Linked DNA regions of Yarrowia lipolytica. The protein of the gene in region 1 interacts with the protein of each later gene in a pairwise test. Links are inferred from orthologs where the notes say so. Each region holds a gene or a part of one and is shown in the gene's direction. Other genes may lie near its edges.

What was found. The genes of interacting proteins can lie anywhere in the genome.
Region 2: the proteins of YALI1_F24635g (region 1) and YALI1_E22238g interact in binary tests that used the Saccharomyces cerevisiae proteins (3 or more experiments, as listed by UniProt). The link is inferred for Yarrowia lipolytica from reciprocal best matches to the Saccharomyces cerevisiae genes PEX7 and POT1.
Region 3: the proteins of YALI1_F24635g (region 1) and YALI1_C07451g interact in a two-hybrid assay, tested with the Saccharomyces cerevisiae proteins (2 studies listed by BioGRID). The link is inferred for Yarrowia lipolytica from reciprocal best matches to the Saccharomyces cerevisiae genes PEX7 and PEX13.

What each region holds. Positions count from the first base shown.
Region 1 is NC_090775.1:2,461,680-2,466,189, reverse strand, and holds YALI1_F24635g (uncharacterized protein), read left to right. Parts: upstream 1-2,601; coding exon 2,602-3,672; downstream 3,673-4,510. Other genes in the region: YALI1_F24649g (uncharacterized protein), read left to right, coding at 1,065-1,173, 1,218-1,420; YALI1_F24615g (uncharacterized protein), read right to left, coding at 4,398-4,510. UniProt on the Saccharomyces cerevisiae protein: Receptor required for the peroxisomal import of proteins containing a C-terminal PTS2-type peroxisomal targeting signal, such as 3-oxoacyl-CoA thiolase. Specifically binds to cargo proteins containing a PTS2 peroxisomal targeting signal in the cytosol.
Region 2 is NC_090774.1:2,221,335-2,225,875, reverse strand, and holds YALI1_E22238g (uncharacterized protein), read left to right. Parts: upstream 1-2,039; coding exon 2,040-3,284; downstream 3,285-4,541. Other genes in the region: YALI1_E22262g (uncharacterized protein), read left to right, coding at 1-572; YALI1_E22245g (uncharacterized protein), read right to left, coding at 712-931, 980-1,261, 1,315-1,376; YALI1_E22218g (uncharacterized protein), read right to left, coding at 3,652-4,053. UniProt on the Saccharomyces cerevisiae protein: Responsible for the thiolytic cleavage of straight chain 3-keto fatty acyl-CoAs (3-oxoacyl-CoAs).
Region 3 is NC_090772.1:743,181-747,631, forward strand, and holds YALI1_C07451g (uncharacterized protein), read left to right. Parts: upstream 1-1,955; coding exon 1,956-3,194; downstream 3,195-4,451. Other genes in the region: YALI1_C07423g (uncharacterized protein), read left to right, coding at 1-247; YALI1_C07481g (uncharacterized protein), read right to left, coding at 3,581-4,451. UniProt on the Saccharomyces cerevisiae protein: Component of the PEX13-PEX14 docking complex, a translocon channel that specifically mediates the import of peroxisomal cargo proteins bound to PEX5 or PEX21 receptors.

The sequences.
Region 1 (4,510 bases):
GACTCGGACCCGTTTGCATCTCTTGTCTTGGTCACTCCCATTCGACCCGATCCCACCAGCCCAGCACGGATTAATGCAAGCTGCTGCCGGGGTAGGCCGCGGCAAAAAGTAGATGCAACGTGCGGGCCATCAGCTGTCCAAAAGCAGGTTTCGGAATAATTGGACACATTGTTTTAGCGGGAGTGGATCGGAGTCGCATATTCCACGTCCCTGTGGTGGTATCTCACTCGTAGCTGTAGCTAGTGACATTTGCTTGCGGTGATCTTCAGAGTACAGTAGTTTATGTCGACGATTGTGCATGTACGTGTAGAAATACTGAGCGTGCGTTGCTCTCAAAGAGCCCGGATGTGGATACAGATGCAAATTTCGCATTGTCCTCGTACATGTCTTCACAGCTATGCCTCGAATATGACTGCCATGGCTCGGATCAGGCCCGTCTCGTCCAAAAAAATAGCCTCACTGATAACCTTTTGGGTTGAATGAAAAAAGGTGATGTGTTTCCAAATTGGGATCCGTGCCAATAGACCTGAGACAGCCAACGAGGAGGCATTCGAGATGCTGGACGGCTCGGGGTGCAAATAGTTTCCCCTACGTCCTCCACACCGTCTACAGACAAGTCCCGCGTACCTCCAACAGCTCCTCATTCGTTCTCGCCGCTCTTCACTTGCAGTTTGAAAAGTGAGACATGGGGAGCCGCAGACCGCATTTTGATACAGACAAGAGACGGCGGCCGGTTTTTCGCTCAGAGTAGCTAGTGGTTGAAGTCGAGTAGGTTCCGTGGGTTTCAGGTCGGTGAGGAGACAGACGGTCAGATGCGGCAGTTTTTGTCTTGGTTCTAGTACGAGTACTTATATCGCACAGGTGACACCGTCAGATCCGTCTTGTTGATGGGACGATATCTTGTACCCATCTTCAGACAGGCTCCGCTTCTGACTGGGTGGTGCAAGGTTGGAGAGGTGACGTCACTTTTGATTCAAAGTGGGTCGAGACGAAACCAACTTTGGGTTGAATCTAAGTGAGTGATTTGATGTTATATAGGACGCAGTCATGCCATTAATGGCCCGATGGCTTTCTTTTGGCGAGCATGCTCACCATTCGGGTTTCTGGTGCGGTTTCTGTCGTCTCGAAAGCTAAACGCATGTCCAACTAAAGCTAACAAAACTCAACACTACTGTACAATAGAACTTCTACTGTTTCACAACCAGTGCGAGTACGAGTACGTGTGATGTACATTACTCACTGCACGAGTGCTGAAAAAACAGCACATCTCTCTCACTACACGCACCGCTCCCAGCTTAAAAAAACACATTCAACACCTACAGTATCGTACACACTGTACATACATGACCGAAGCAGATGGTATTCTGCAGTGCTTCAATGCACGTCCGTTAGCATGGCTGAGCCGAGGTTGAGGGACTGACAATGAGGTTAGGATTGGTGCGAGTAGAGAGAGAAGCCGTTATGTGCCCGTTATGTACACGTTTCTGTACACGTTTCGTGAAGTAAATAGATCTTTACTTGTGTGTGTATAAGTGCCCAAGTTATTGAGCCCAAGCTTCTCAGTACAGTAGGTACTTGCACGAAAGACCAATCATAACTGGGTTGAACTGCTCCATACCACTCCACACGTGCGTTGTCAAGAGGAGTATAACGACAGAGGGGTTGTGACGTTTGGTTGTTAAGAATATAAATACACCAACGTCCGACACTAAACCATCACTTCCTCGAGCCACGGGGACATCTACATCTCAAAATCAAGGCGGTTTGGGATGCTTGAGAGTCTAACCTTGGGAAACAGTGAGATGAGATTGATTAGGAGTTTGAGATGGAAGCACTTCTGGGAGACTAGAGAGTGATTGAAGTGTGTTTTTTTGTTCTTCTCTCTTAGTAACACAGAAACCACCCTACAAGCACGACATTTTGTTTTATACAAGTACTGTACGTGATGACCGCGTACAGTCCGGACCCGGTCTAATTTTCAGGCACCCCCTCAATGTGTGAACCCAATCAACAGTGGGAGACACACCCACTCCCACATCTTACAGTATAAATAGGGCAAGTCAAGTTTGAGCGACAGCTTTGGTTTACTGTGCTAGTGATCTCGATACCAAAAAGAGTACGCATCCGCTTCCTACACTCCGACAGCACGACAAGTGACCTACGCCACCGCCACCACCAATCCACACTGCGATACCAGATTGCACTCCCCTAACCCACTCACACACCTAACTTTTTCTCACTCATTCCCCCACCCAAAGTAATGTCTTCGATCCAGACTCAGCTCAACAGGTTCATTTCGCAACCTCTCCGAGTCGCCGTGAAGCCAGATAGCGACAGCAGCCCCGAAGACGACCAGCGCACCTTTTTCGGCCGCCTCATCACCATCGACAACGAGGCCAATCTCATTCTCACTGACACCAGCGAGGTTCGCAGCAGAAAAGGAGTTCGTACCCATCAGCGGTACGTTGGAATGGTAGTTGTCAAGGGCGACGACATTGAATCTGTTGGAATTGCTTGTTAAGTCAACCGAAACACAAGCACTGACACTCAATCACACTCACCTACTCTACACACTCTAGTACACAAATCACATCTTTACACATGTTGGGATTCAAAACACAGGGATTCAACGGCTACGCGGCCAACTACTCGCCGTTTTTCAACGACAAGATTGCGGTCGGAACGGCGGCCAACTACGGGCTGGTCGGAAACGGAAAACTCTTCATTCTGGGCATCTCTCCCGAGGGCCGCATGGTCTGCGAAGGCCAGTTTGACACCCAGGACGGCATTTTTGATGTCGCGTGGTCCGAGCAACATGAAAACCACGTGGCAACCGCCTGCGGAGACGGATCAGTCAAGCTGTTCGACATCAAGGCCGGTGCCTTCCCTCTGGTATCGTTCAAGGAGCACACACGGGAAGTCTTCTCTGTCAACTGGAACATGGCCAACAAGGCGCTCTTCTGCACATCTTCATGGGACTCTACAATCAAAATCTGGACGCCGGAACGTACAAACTCCATCATGACCCTTGGCCAGCCTGCTCCGGCCCAGGGAACAAACGCTTCAGCTCACATTGGCCGTCAGACGGCCCCCAACCAGGCAGCAGCCCAGGAGTGCATTTATTCGGCGAAATTCTCGCCTCACACAGACTCGATTATTGCATCCGCACACTCCACAGGAATGGTCAAGGTGTGGGACACTCGAGCACCCCAGCCTCTCCAGCAACAGTTTTCCACGCAGCAAACCGAGTCTGGAGGACCACCAGAGGTTCTGTCGCTGGACTGGAACAAGTACAGACCCACAGTGATTGCCACAGGTGGCGTTGATCGGTCTGTTCAGGTCTACGATATCCGAATGACTCAACCTGCAGCCAACCAACCCGTTCAGCCATTGAGCTTGATTCTGGGCCACAGACTACCCGTCAGAGGAGTTTCGTGGTCACCGCATCATGCCGACTTGCTGCTGTCGTGTTCTTACGACATGACTGCTCGAGTTTGGCGGGACGCTAGCACTGGAGGCAACTATCTGGCTCGACAGCGGGGTGGAACAGAAGTGAAATGCATGGACAGACACACAGAGTTCGTTATTGGCGGCGACTGGTCGTTATGGGGCGATCCTGGATGGATCACCACCGTTGGATGGGACCAGATGGTTTATGTTTGGCATGCGTAAACAATAGAAACAATAGTGCAATGCATGATTAACATGGTAAGTGTTGGAGCAGTATAGTGTTGGAGCAGTATAGTCGGGGGTGTTACAACGTTGTATCTTCCGAGAGTCGAGCTACAATCCAAATGTTCGAGTACTTGTGCCGACCAGAGTGAGGTGTGCTTGTAGGGCTTCCTAGCGAGCTTTTTACTGACAGTGTATGTACGTATGTACTCGTACCATTGTGAGTGGCCATCACGCACTACTAGTAGAAGTACCCAGGGAATATAGTCTTAGTCATTACTATTGTCTCACACGAGTCGACATACGGGGTCTGATTATGTTCTGTCTGGTAGCGCAGGTTGCGTCCTATCTTGTCTCCACGATAGTGACGGAAAAGTAGATACACTCGGTTATTTACAGAAGCTGAAACTGCTGTACTCTTACAAAATGAGATCTTTAGTCTAGATACAGTACATCCCGACGGTTTCACGCTTGTAGATCAATAGTAGCATCCTAACAGGCATGCCTCAGAGGACATACGAGCACCAAAGACTTGGCTGTAGCACTTCTGGACTGTTAATGAGATATGGAACAAACAGGCGTCACTTTGGACTGCCTGGAACAACCAGCGAATATCTTTGACTCCCTCGACCATCACTTCAGACTGTGCTCACCTTGACACACTCTTATCTGGAGTCTCTAACAAGACGACATACAAGTGTTACATTTTGAACCGAGACAATTCTTTAGTTTTCCACAGTTCCTTCCGTCATATGATTATGATCCTTTATGTACTCAATTGAATCAAACACTTTGTCACTCCGAGACCGCCGGAGATCCACGTCCAATCCGTGAAAAC
Region 2 (4,541 bases), on another chromosome or scaffold:
AATTGGTCCAGAAGCGGGGCTACTACATGCAACGAGCCAACGACGAGAGTGGCAAGGAAACAGCCATGGTAGCATTGTTGTTGCATCGCACGGTTGACACCAACCGGTTGGTCCAAGCCTGCGAGGGCTGGAACGGAGCCAATGTGGCCAATATCAACAGCAGCGGCCAGGTGGTTCTCAGTGGCGAACGGTCCGCCATCAACGAGCTAGTTGCGCATCTCAAAGCCTCCAAACTGCGGGTTCTGAAGGCAATCCCCCTGAACGTTTCAGCGCCGTTCCATTCCGCCATCATGGCTCCGGTGGTGTCCGAGCTCGATGCGGTTTGTCAGCAGCTCAAGATCCGTCCCGATTTCAGCGCTGACAAGCCGCAGGTGGTATCCAACGCCTCGGGCAAGCCGTTCGGCTCTGCCGACGAGATGTACGAGTCCATGATCGGGTCTCCAGTGCATACAGTCAATTGGCTGGCTAGTGTGGAATACCTAAAACACGTCGGAGTGGTAGAATCGGACGGCTACGGTCCTGGATGTGTCGACATTGGCAAGATGGTGCTGCCAGGAGAGAGATATGACTAAATGGTCTGTCTGGTGAGCAGCTCAGGTGGCCCAAACGTCTCACGTAAGCAGAACCTACTACTGGTTCAGCCGTGAGACATCAGATGACGTTTACCAACGAACGCCGTTGAAACCGTGCTTTGTGTATATCATGTGTGCTCTATAATAGGATTTCGGTTGGAGCGATAACGGAGTTTGGACACCAGAGTTCGCGCATTGCACGATACACCAACGTTTTCACATTATCATGTAAAAAGTGTACATACATACTTTCACAAGATGGTCCAAGTACGATGTAGTGTTGTGCGACGGGTGTGTCTGTGTAATATGTTTGTCCAAATATATATAGGTCGTCAGTAGCCCAAGTTTCTGTTTCCCGACTCTATTTCCTGTCTGGTAGGCTCCTCACCTCCCCGTCACCTCCTCACCACCTCCTGACGTCATGATCGAGACGCTTATCGCCAGTAAAGCCGAACCGAACCGAATCCCCACAATACCCCACAGTGTGCATATCAAACCTACCGGTTGTTGCTCTCTCCAGCCTTACTAAGAAGGAGGCGACGTGGCAGTGGCTCGCGGGAGGATCGGCGGGAAACTCCGGGATATCCGTCGAGAGTTTACACGTGAATGGGCAGCGCAATCCGTTGACGACGATACGACTGGCAAAGTAGCGACGATACCTGCCAGACAGGTGACATGTGCAGGCCGCACTAACAAGGAAACGGGCGCTGGGGGGGCGGGCTTCTAGACTTTGCCCTTGAACAGGAATCTAGTGGGGGCTTGTCTTTCCGCCAATGGGGGAGCGCCTGTTGAGCGACCGTGCATGCTGGAACGCCAAGTGTATGTACAGCTGGTGGTCTCGCAGCGGTATGTGACGGGACTTACATCTCTCGTTTTTTCATGACCACGTTTTCACAGGCTCGGAGGTACGTTAAAGTTTTGAAGGCTGCATCTGAACCGAGGTATGGGGGAGTTTGAAGAGCAACAGTGTTGGGGCTGAGGGGGCCAAGATCGGGGCAAGCAAAGGTCTTAGATCAATTGTGGGGATCCCAAAGGGCCCGTTACCGCCTTCTTCCACCCAATTCGGGTCCCAATTGATCCACTACTGGCTTGCCCAAGTTACCCCAGAAATGCCGCCCCGGATTTCTCCAAAAACCTAATAAGCTTCATGGAACTTGGTGGAAGTGACTTTCTACAGAGTGGAGAGAACCGTGGACACGTGGCAATGGCGCTGACCGTGTCCCCGAGCCGAATCGACGTGAGGGGAGAACGGAGTATCTGCGGTCATGTGACCTTCCAGAGCGGCGTCGCCAGTGTGCACGCGGTGACCCCCAGTTTGGGTCTCTGTCACACGCATACTACCTCGGCTCTCCACATGCTGAACTTTATCTTTCGTGGGGATCATACCGAAAGTTGCAACTACCAGGTGTATATAAAGCCTGGTAGACTCCCCCCACTTTGGACCTCATCCAACCAAGACACACAAAAATGGACCGACTTAACAACCTCGCCACCCAGCTCGAGCAGAACCCCGCCAAGGGCCTCGACGCTATCACCTCCAAGAACCCCGATGACGTTGTCATCACCGCCGCCTACCGAACTGCCCACACCAAGGGAGGCAAGGGTCTGTTCAAGGACACCTCTTCTTCCGAGCTGCTCGCCTCTCTGCTGGAGGGCCTCGTCAAGGAGTCCAAGATCGACCCCAAGCTCATCGGTGATGTCGTCTGCGGAAACGTTCTCGCTGCCGGTGCCGGTGCCACTGAGCACCGAGCTGCCTGCCTTGTTGCCGGCATCCCCGAGACCGTTCCCTTCGTCGCTCTCAACCGACAGTGCTCCTCTGGTCTGATGGCCGTCAACGACGTTGCCAACAAGATCCGAGCCGGCCAGATTGACATTGGTATCGGCTGTGGTGTCGAGTCCATGTCCAACCAGTACGGTCCCAACTCCGTCACCCCCTTCTCCAACAAGTTCCAGAACAACGAGGAGGCTAAGAAGTGCCTGATCCCCATGGGTATCACTTCCGAGAACGTTGCCGCCAAGTACAACGTGTCCCGAAAGGCCCAGGACGCCTTTGCTGCCAAGTCCTACGAGAAGGCCGCCGCTGCCCAGGCCGCCGGCAAGTTCGACCAGGAGATCCTCCCCATCAAGACCACTGTTCTCGATGATGATGACAACGAGAAGGAGGTTACCGTCAACAAGGACGACGGTATCCGACCTGGTGTCACCGCCGAGAAGCTCGGCAAGCTCAAGCCTGCTTTCTCCGCCGAGGGAACCACCCACGCTGGTAACGCCTCTCAGATCTCCGACGGTGCCGGAGCCGTTCTCCTCATGCGACGATCTGTTGCCGAGAAGCTTGGCCAGCCCATCCTTGCCAAGTTTGTCCACTGCAAGACCGTCGGTGTTCCCCCCGAGCTCATGGGAATTGGCCCCGCTTACGCCATTCCTGCTGTCCTTGAGGACCTTGGTCTGACCGTCAACGACGTTGACGTTTTCGAGATCAACGAGGCTTTCGCTTCCCAGGCTCTGTTCTCCATCCAGCATTGTGGAATCGACGAGTCCAAGGTCAACCCCCGAGGTGGTGCCATTGCTATTGGCCACCCTCTGGGAGCCACCGGTGCTCGACAGTTTGCCACTCTGCTCTCCGAGCTTAAGGAGTCTGGCAAGAAGGTCGGTGTCACCTCCATGTGCATTGGTACCGGTATGGGTGCCGCTTCTCTGGTTGTTGCCGAGTAAATGTACATACAAGATTATTTATAGAAATGAATCGCGATCGAACAAAGAGTACGAGTGTACGAGTAGGGGATGATGATAAAAGTGGAAGAAGTTCCGCATCTTTGGATTTATCAACGTGTAGGACGATACTTCCTGTAAAAATGCAATGTCTTTACCATAGGTTCTGCTGTAGATACTTGTACAGTTGCAGACCAGTTGGAGTATAGAATGGTACACTTACCAAAAAGTGTTGATGGTTGTAACTACGATACGGGATCCCCGCTGATATGCCTAAGGAACAATCAAAGAGGAAGATATTAATTCAGAATGCTAGTATACAGTTAGGGATGGTGAGTGTTGGGTGATGCAGGGGAGGTTGTCGAGCGGTTCACTTGAGTGCGTCCCGCTGTTTCATCAAGTGCATTTCAAGAATCCCGTTGGCCATGTGCATTTTGACCTTTTGCGGGTCGATTTTGACCGTTGGCGGAAACCGCACCGTTCTCTGGAAGGAGCCGTTGTGTCGTTCTCCCACCATGAGACAGTCGGACAGATGTGCAAAGGGGTTGGTGTAGTGGCCACTGATGGTCAGGCTGTTGGAGTCTGCGTCGTAGGCGGTTTCCAGGTCCGCCGACCGCACCGCCGGCAGACTTGTCACCACAATGTACATGTTTCCCAGGTCGTAGATGTCGACTGGTGGCGCGAATGGGTCAGTATGGGAGTGTGGGAGAGGAGTAGCTGGTGGCGAGTGGGCCAGGTCTGTTTCGGCATAGTCGGGCATTACAAAGGACATGGGGAGGGCGACGGGAGGCTTTTTGAGGAGTTGAAGAAGAGCTGGGGAAGAAATCAAGTGTCAAGCTTGAAAAAATCGGCTTTTCCATCTCAATTAGTTGCCTACATCGAGCCCATCAGAGTTCATGCACATGCAATGACCTCACAAGACACTGGCATAATTATGGCAGGGCTAATTTTAGCACTCCTCTGACAAAGCCGATGGGCGATGATAAACGCTGTCCACCATCTCGTGATCTTGCGGTTCCACTCCAGGGTATGACCAATCACGGCTGTGTTGCCGTTTCAGTGGGTGGCGACAGGGTGGCAAAGTGACGGTGGCAGTGCTTCACGTGACCTGGTCATACAGAACCGATCGGCCTTTCCCGATGGGCGGATAAATTGTTCCGACGCTATGCCGTATCCGAGATTCGTCGACATTTGCTATGTTATTTTCTGCTCAATTTTGAGATCGACTTTTGGGTCTATTTCGTCGAGAAGATTCCAGAA
Region 3 (4,451 bases), on another chromosome or scaffold:
CGGTATTCTGTGTGCCGTCATTTCCCACCCCGCCGACGTCATGGTCTCCAAGGTCAACAGTGAGCAGAAGCCCGGCGAGTCCACTCTGCAGACCGTGGAGCGAATCTACAAGCGAATTGGTTTCAAGGGTCTTTGGAACGGTCTGCCGGTGCGAATCTTCATGATTGGTACCCTGACCGGTATGCAGTGGCTCATTTACGATACTTTCAAGCTGTCGGTCGGTCTGCCTACTACTGGAGGTCATTAACGAGCTCAACATTGCGAGATGCGAAGCAGTGACCGTTACTTGGGGGGATTTGAGTGAATTGGAACGAGATGCCCAAGTGACTCCAACTGCTACGACTATAATAGAATGGATTATTAACAGGAACGTGTATTAGACGTGTATGAGAAGAAGAAAGACTACAAGTAGAAGAGACGAGAGACATGAGACCTGACACCTTCCAGTACAGTACATACAGTACCGCCTCGCGCATTTGAATCCAACCCCTGTCCGACCCTCGTCCAAGCTCCAACCCTTGAACTTGATAATGGAACTCAATGCGGTGCCAGGCTCTCCTTCCACCGTTGACAGACGTCATAGTACCTGTTTTCTGAGTCCAAAGACCAAAAGAGCAACCATATCAGTGTCAAAACAGTGGTATCAACTTGATTCCTCTCCGTCCTAGCTCTTGAGTTGGATGTAAACGCGTCTTGGAGCAAGTAGAGACCAGATTACCGATCCAGTCTCTAAGCCTGGGATGAAGACATTGCGCCGAGAATCTCCTAGATCCAACTTGCAGTTTGCAGGATCTTGAGTGATTACTACAGGTAGTCTTTCATCTCCTCATGTTGCTGAAGAGATGGCGGTTTCTGACTCCACGGAGGAGCTGGAAGAATCCGAGCCCGATGCCATGAATGCGACAGTCTCTAGAATGGTTGTACAGATTAGGACATTCATCACTTCAAGTACTCGTACTTGTACCCGTACATTGATTCACAAGTCGAACTCCGACATACTAATTAATTAATTAATTAATTAATTAATTAAATAAATTCTATACGTGCAAATACGAGTGTACCCTTGTACTGGGACTTCAGGTGAATTTGTACCTCACCGTCTTGTGTATTTCACCATCTTCTACGTCACTGTCTTCACATTCTCTCATTCCGATTTTCCGGTTTTTTTTTCTTCTTTTTTTTCTCTGTTTTTTTTTTTCCATTTTTTTTTCGCCATTTTTCAATTTTTTTTTAAATAATCCGGTGCTAACTTCTGAAACTGGTGGCAAAAAGTTAGGGTTGCTTGGAGAGCAAAATCGGATTTTCCGAAAAAGAAACATGCAAAAAAGACTCGCCCCTGATTGGCCAGTTCCCCGATTTCGCACAGAAACCACCAACTGTCCAAAAGTGCTGGACCGCGCCTCGAACCAACGCCTCGGTGTATGCACGGCCGTTAGTTACCCTACACGGTGCACCCCGCCAACGTGATTTTTGCCGAGGTAAACGTGGGGAAAACATGCATGAAAATAAGGTTTCCCACTCTTGTGAAAAAGTAGAGAGAAAAGAGGGAGTTCTTGGAGGCGTTGAAGGTGGAAAAGGGGGGATTTCACGCGGAAATATCACCCATAAAGATCACGTGATCCCAACAGAGGTTCCGGCTTCTCTCTAGGACCGCTGCAGCTCGTTCTGGAGACATCTGTTCTACAATGTTCTCAATGTCAAAATCCAACGTATAAACCCTAAACTACCACTTTCGTTTGAGTTCACCCTCCTCCGAATCTCTCCACAACTTTCTCCCTTGTATTTGCACAGTCTTTATAACTGACGACGGGACACTTCAAACTACGAGTTACAGTAGACAAGCGACACAAAAACAGCAGCTACGACGACAGCGACACAAGCGACACAAACACAGCTCTCTCTCAAAAACACTACACAACACTACACTACACAACACAACACAACACAAGGCAAACATGAGCGTGCCACGACCAAAACCATGGGAAGGCGCCTCTGGCTCTTCCGCAGCCACCGCGACACCGGCGGCAACAGCCACCCCGGCCTCCACAGACGCCGTGTCGTCTTCAGCCGGCAGCGCAACTGGAGCCCCCGAACTGCCGTCTAGACCCTCGGCCATGGGCTCTACCTCCAACGCCCTGAGCTCGCCTATGGGCTCTAGCATGAACTCGGGCTACGGAGGCATGAACTCGGGCTATGGCGGCATGGGCTCGTCTTATGGCTCCGGCTACGGATCATCATACGGCATGGGTTCGTCGTATGGCTCCGGCTACGGCTCGGGACTCGGTGGATACGGATCTTACGGAGGAATGGGCGGCATGGGAGGCATGTACGGCTCTCGATATGGAGGCTACGGCTCGTACGGAGGCATGGGGGGATACGGAGGATACGGAGGTATGGGTGGCGGACCCATGGGTCAGAACGGTCTGGCAGGAGGTACCCAGGCCACATTCCAGCTGATCGAAAGCATCGTTGGAGCCGTGGGTGGATTCGCGCAGATGCTCGAGTCCACCTACATGGCGACCCAGTCGTCCTTCTTCGCCATGGTCTCTGTTGCAGAGCAGTTTGGCAACCTGAAAAACACCCTCGGCTCGCTGCTCGGCATCTACGCCATCATGCGGTGGGCCCGCCGGCTGGTGGCAAAGCTGTCTGGCCAGCCTGTCACCGGTGCGAACGGCATCACTCCTGCCGGTTTCGCCAAGTTCGAGGCTACTGGCGGAGCGGCGGGTCCCGGAAGAGGTCCCCGGCCCTCGTACAAGCCGTTGCTCTTCTTCCTGACGGCCGTTTTTGGTCTGCCTTACCTGCTGGGTCGGCTGATCAAGGCGCTGGCCGCCAAGCAGGAGGGCATGTACGATGAGCATGGCAACCTGCTGCCTGGTGCCCAGATGGGAATGGGCGGCCCTGGTATGGAGGGTGGCGCCGAAATCGACCCTTCCAAGCTGGAGTTCTGCCGGGCCAACTTTGACTTTGTGCCCGAGAACCCTCAGCTGGAGCTCGAGCTGCGAAAGGGCGACCTGGTGGCGGTTCTCGCAAAGACAGACCCCATGGGCAACCCCTCGCAATGGTGGCGAGTGCGAACTCGGGACGGCCGAAGCGGATACGTGCCGGCCAACTACCTCGAAGTGATTCCTCGGCCTGCGGTTGAGGCTCCCAAGAAGGTGGAGGAGATTGGCGCCAGTGCCGTTCCCGTTAATTAGACATGATATTTATTGCATATGTAAACACACATACTGGTGCGACTGCCTTGCACCGTTTTGGACGCGTAGATGGCGACGTAATCAAATGCACCCACTGGTTGCACTTTTTGAATACAAACTGAGGGAGATTGGTGGATCTACAAGTGCCTATACGAGCATATCTAAAGGCATACGATCAGTTGACCAACTTGTTGGTCTTCTGGTGCAAATCCAAGCACCTGGATAGATCTACTGACATTCCAACCGTCAGTTGTGTAGTATGCAATAAATATTTGTCTATTTGATTCGTGGTCATTGTCGTTGTCGTTGTCGTTGTCGTAGTCGTTGTCGTAGTTGTTGTTTTCGTTATTCCAACCTCTGTTCACTCCGTTCACGGGGCACTCTGTTCACTTCTTCTTACCGCCCTTCTTCAATCTCTGCTTCTGGGCAAACCCGACCATGTTCTCCACAACAGCTTCAAACGCCTCCTTGTTCTTGTATCCCAGCGCCAGCTTGTCTTCCCATTGCTTGAGCAGCAGCTTGGCCTCGGAGTTGGCCGTCTTGAGTTGGTTGACCAGCTCCTGAAGCTCTTCCTGCTCCATTCGTTCCCGCTGCTCGGGCCGAATCTCCACCAGCCGTAGCCACGAGTCGAGCTTGAGCTCGGTATCGACCGTCACAGGCGTCTGGGCACGTGACGAGTCTGTAGGAGTCGGGGTGGCCGCTCGAGAGCCGCCGGGGGGCGTCTTTCCATCAGTGCTATCTCTTGACTTGGACGTCTTGTCCAGCGACCGACGGCTTCGTCTGATGACTAAATGCTGTTTTTCCTTGCGAGGGAGCAGCTCGTCAAGATCCAGAGGCACCCCCACGTCTTTGAGAAGCAGTCGTCGAGTGAACGACTTCAGAAAGTTGAGTTCCGAAGTGGGAACCGAGCACAGAAGAGCGTAGATCTGAGATGCAGACTCACTAAGCTCAAATTTCTGGCCTGCAGGCTCCTTGGGTTCGGGGAACACCTGTGCCAAGCCATTGTCCTCCAGAACAGACTTGGCAGCAAAAGAAAGAGAGGTGAAGGACGAAAACGAGTCGTCTGCAAGCACAGATTTGACCGATGGGGAAGCCTGGGGCATTGACAGATTCGTCTGAGACGCCATCGGGGTCTCTTCACGTGACGTATCCAGCGTCGGAACTTGCTGGGCTTCAACAGCTTCAGTCTCCTGCATCTCCTCGAAATCATCAAAGTCTCCAAACTCGTCTTCGGATGCAAATTCTCCGAACGAAGAC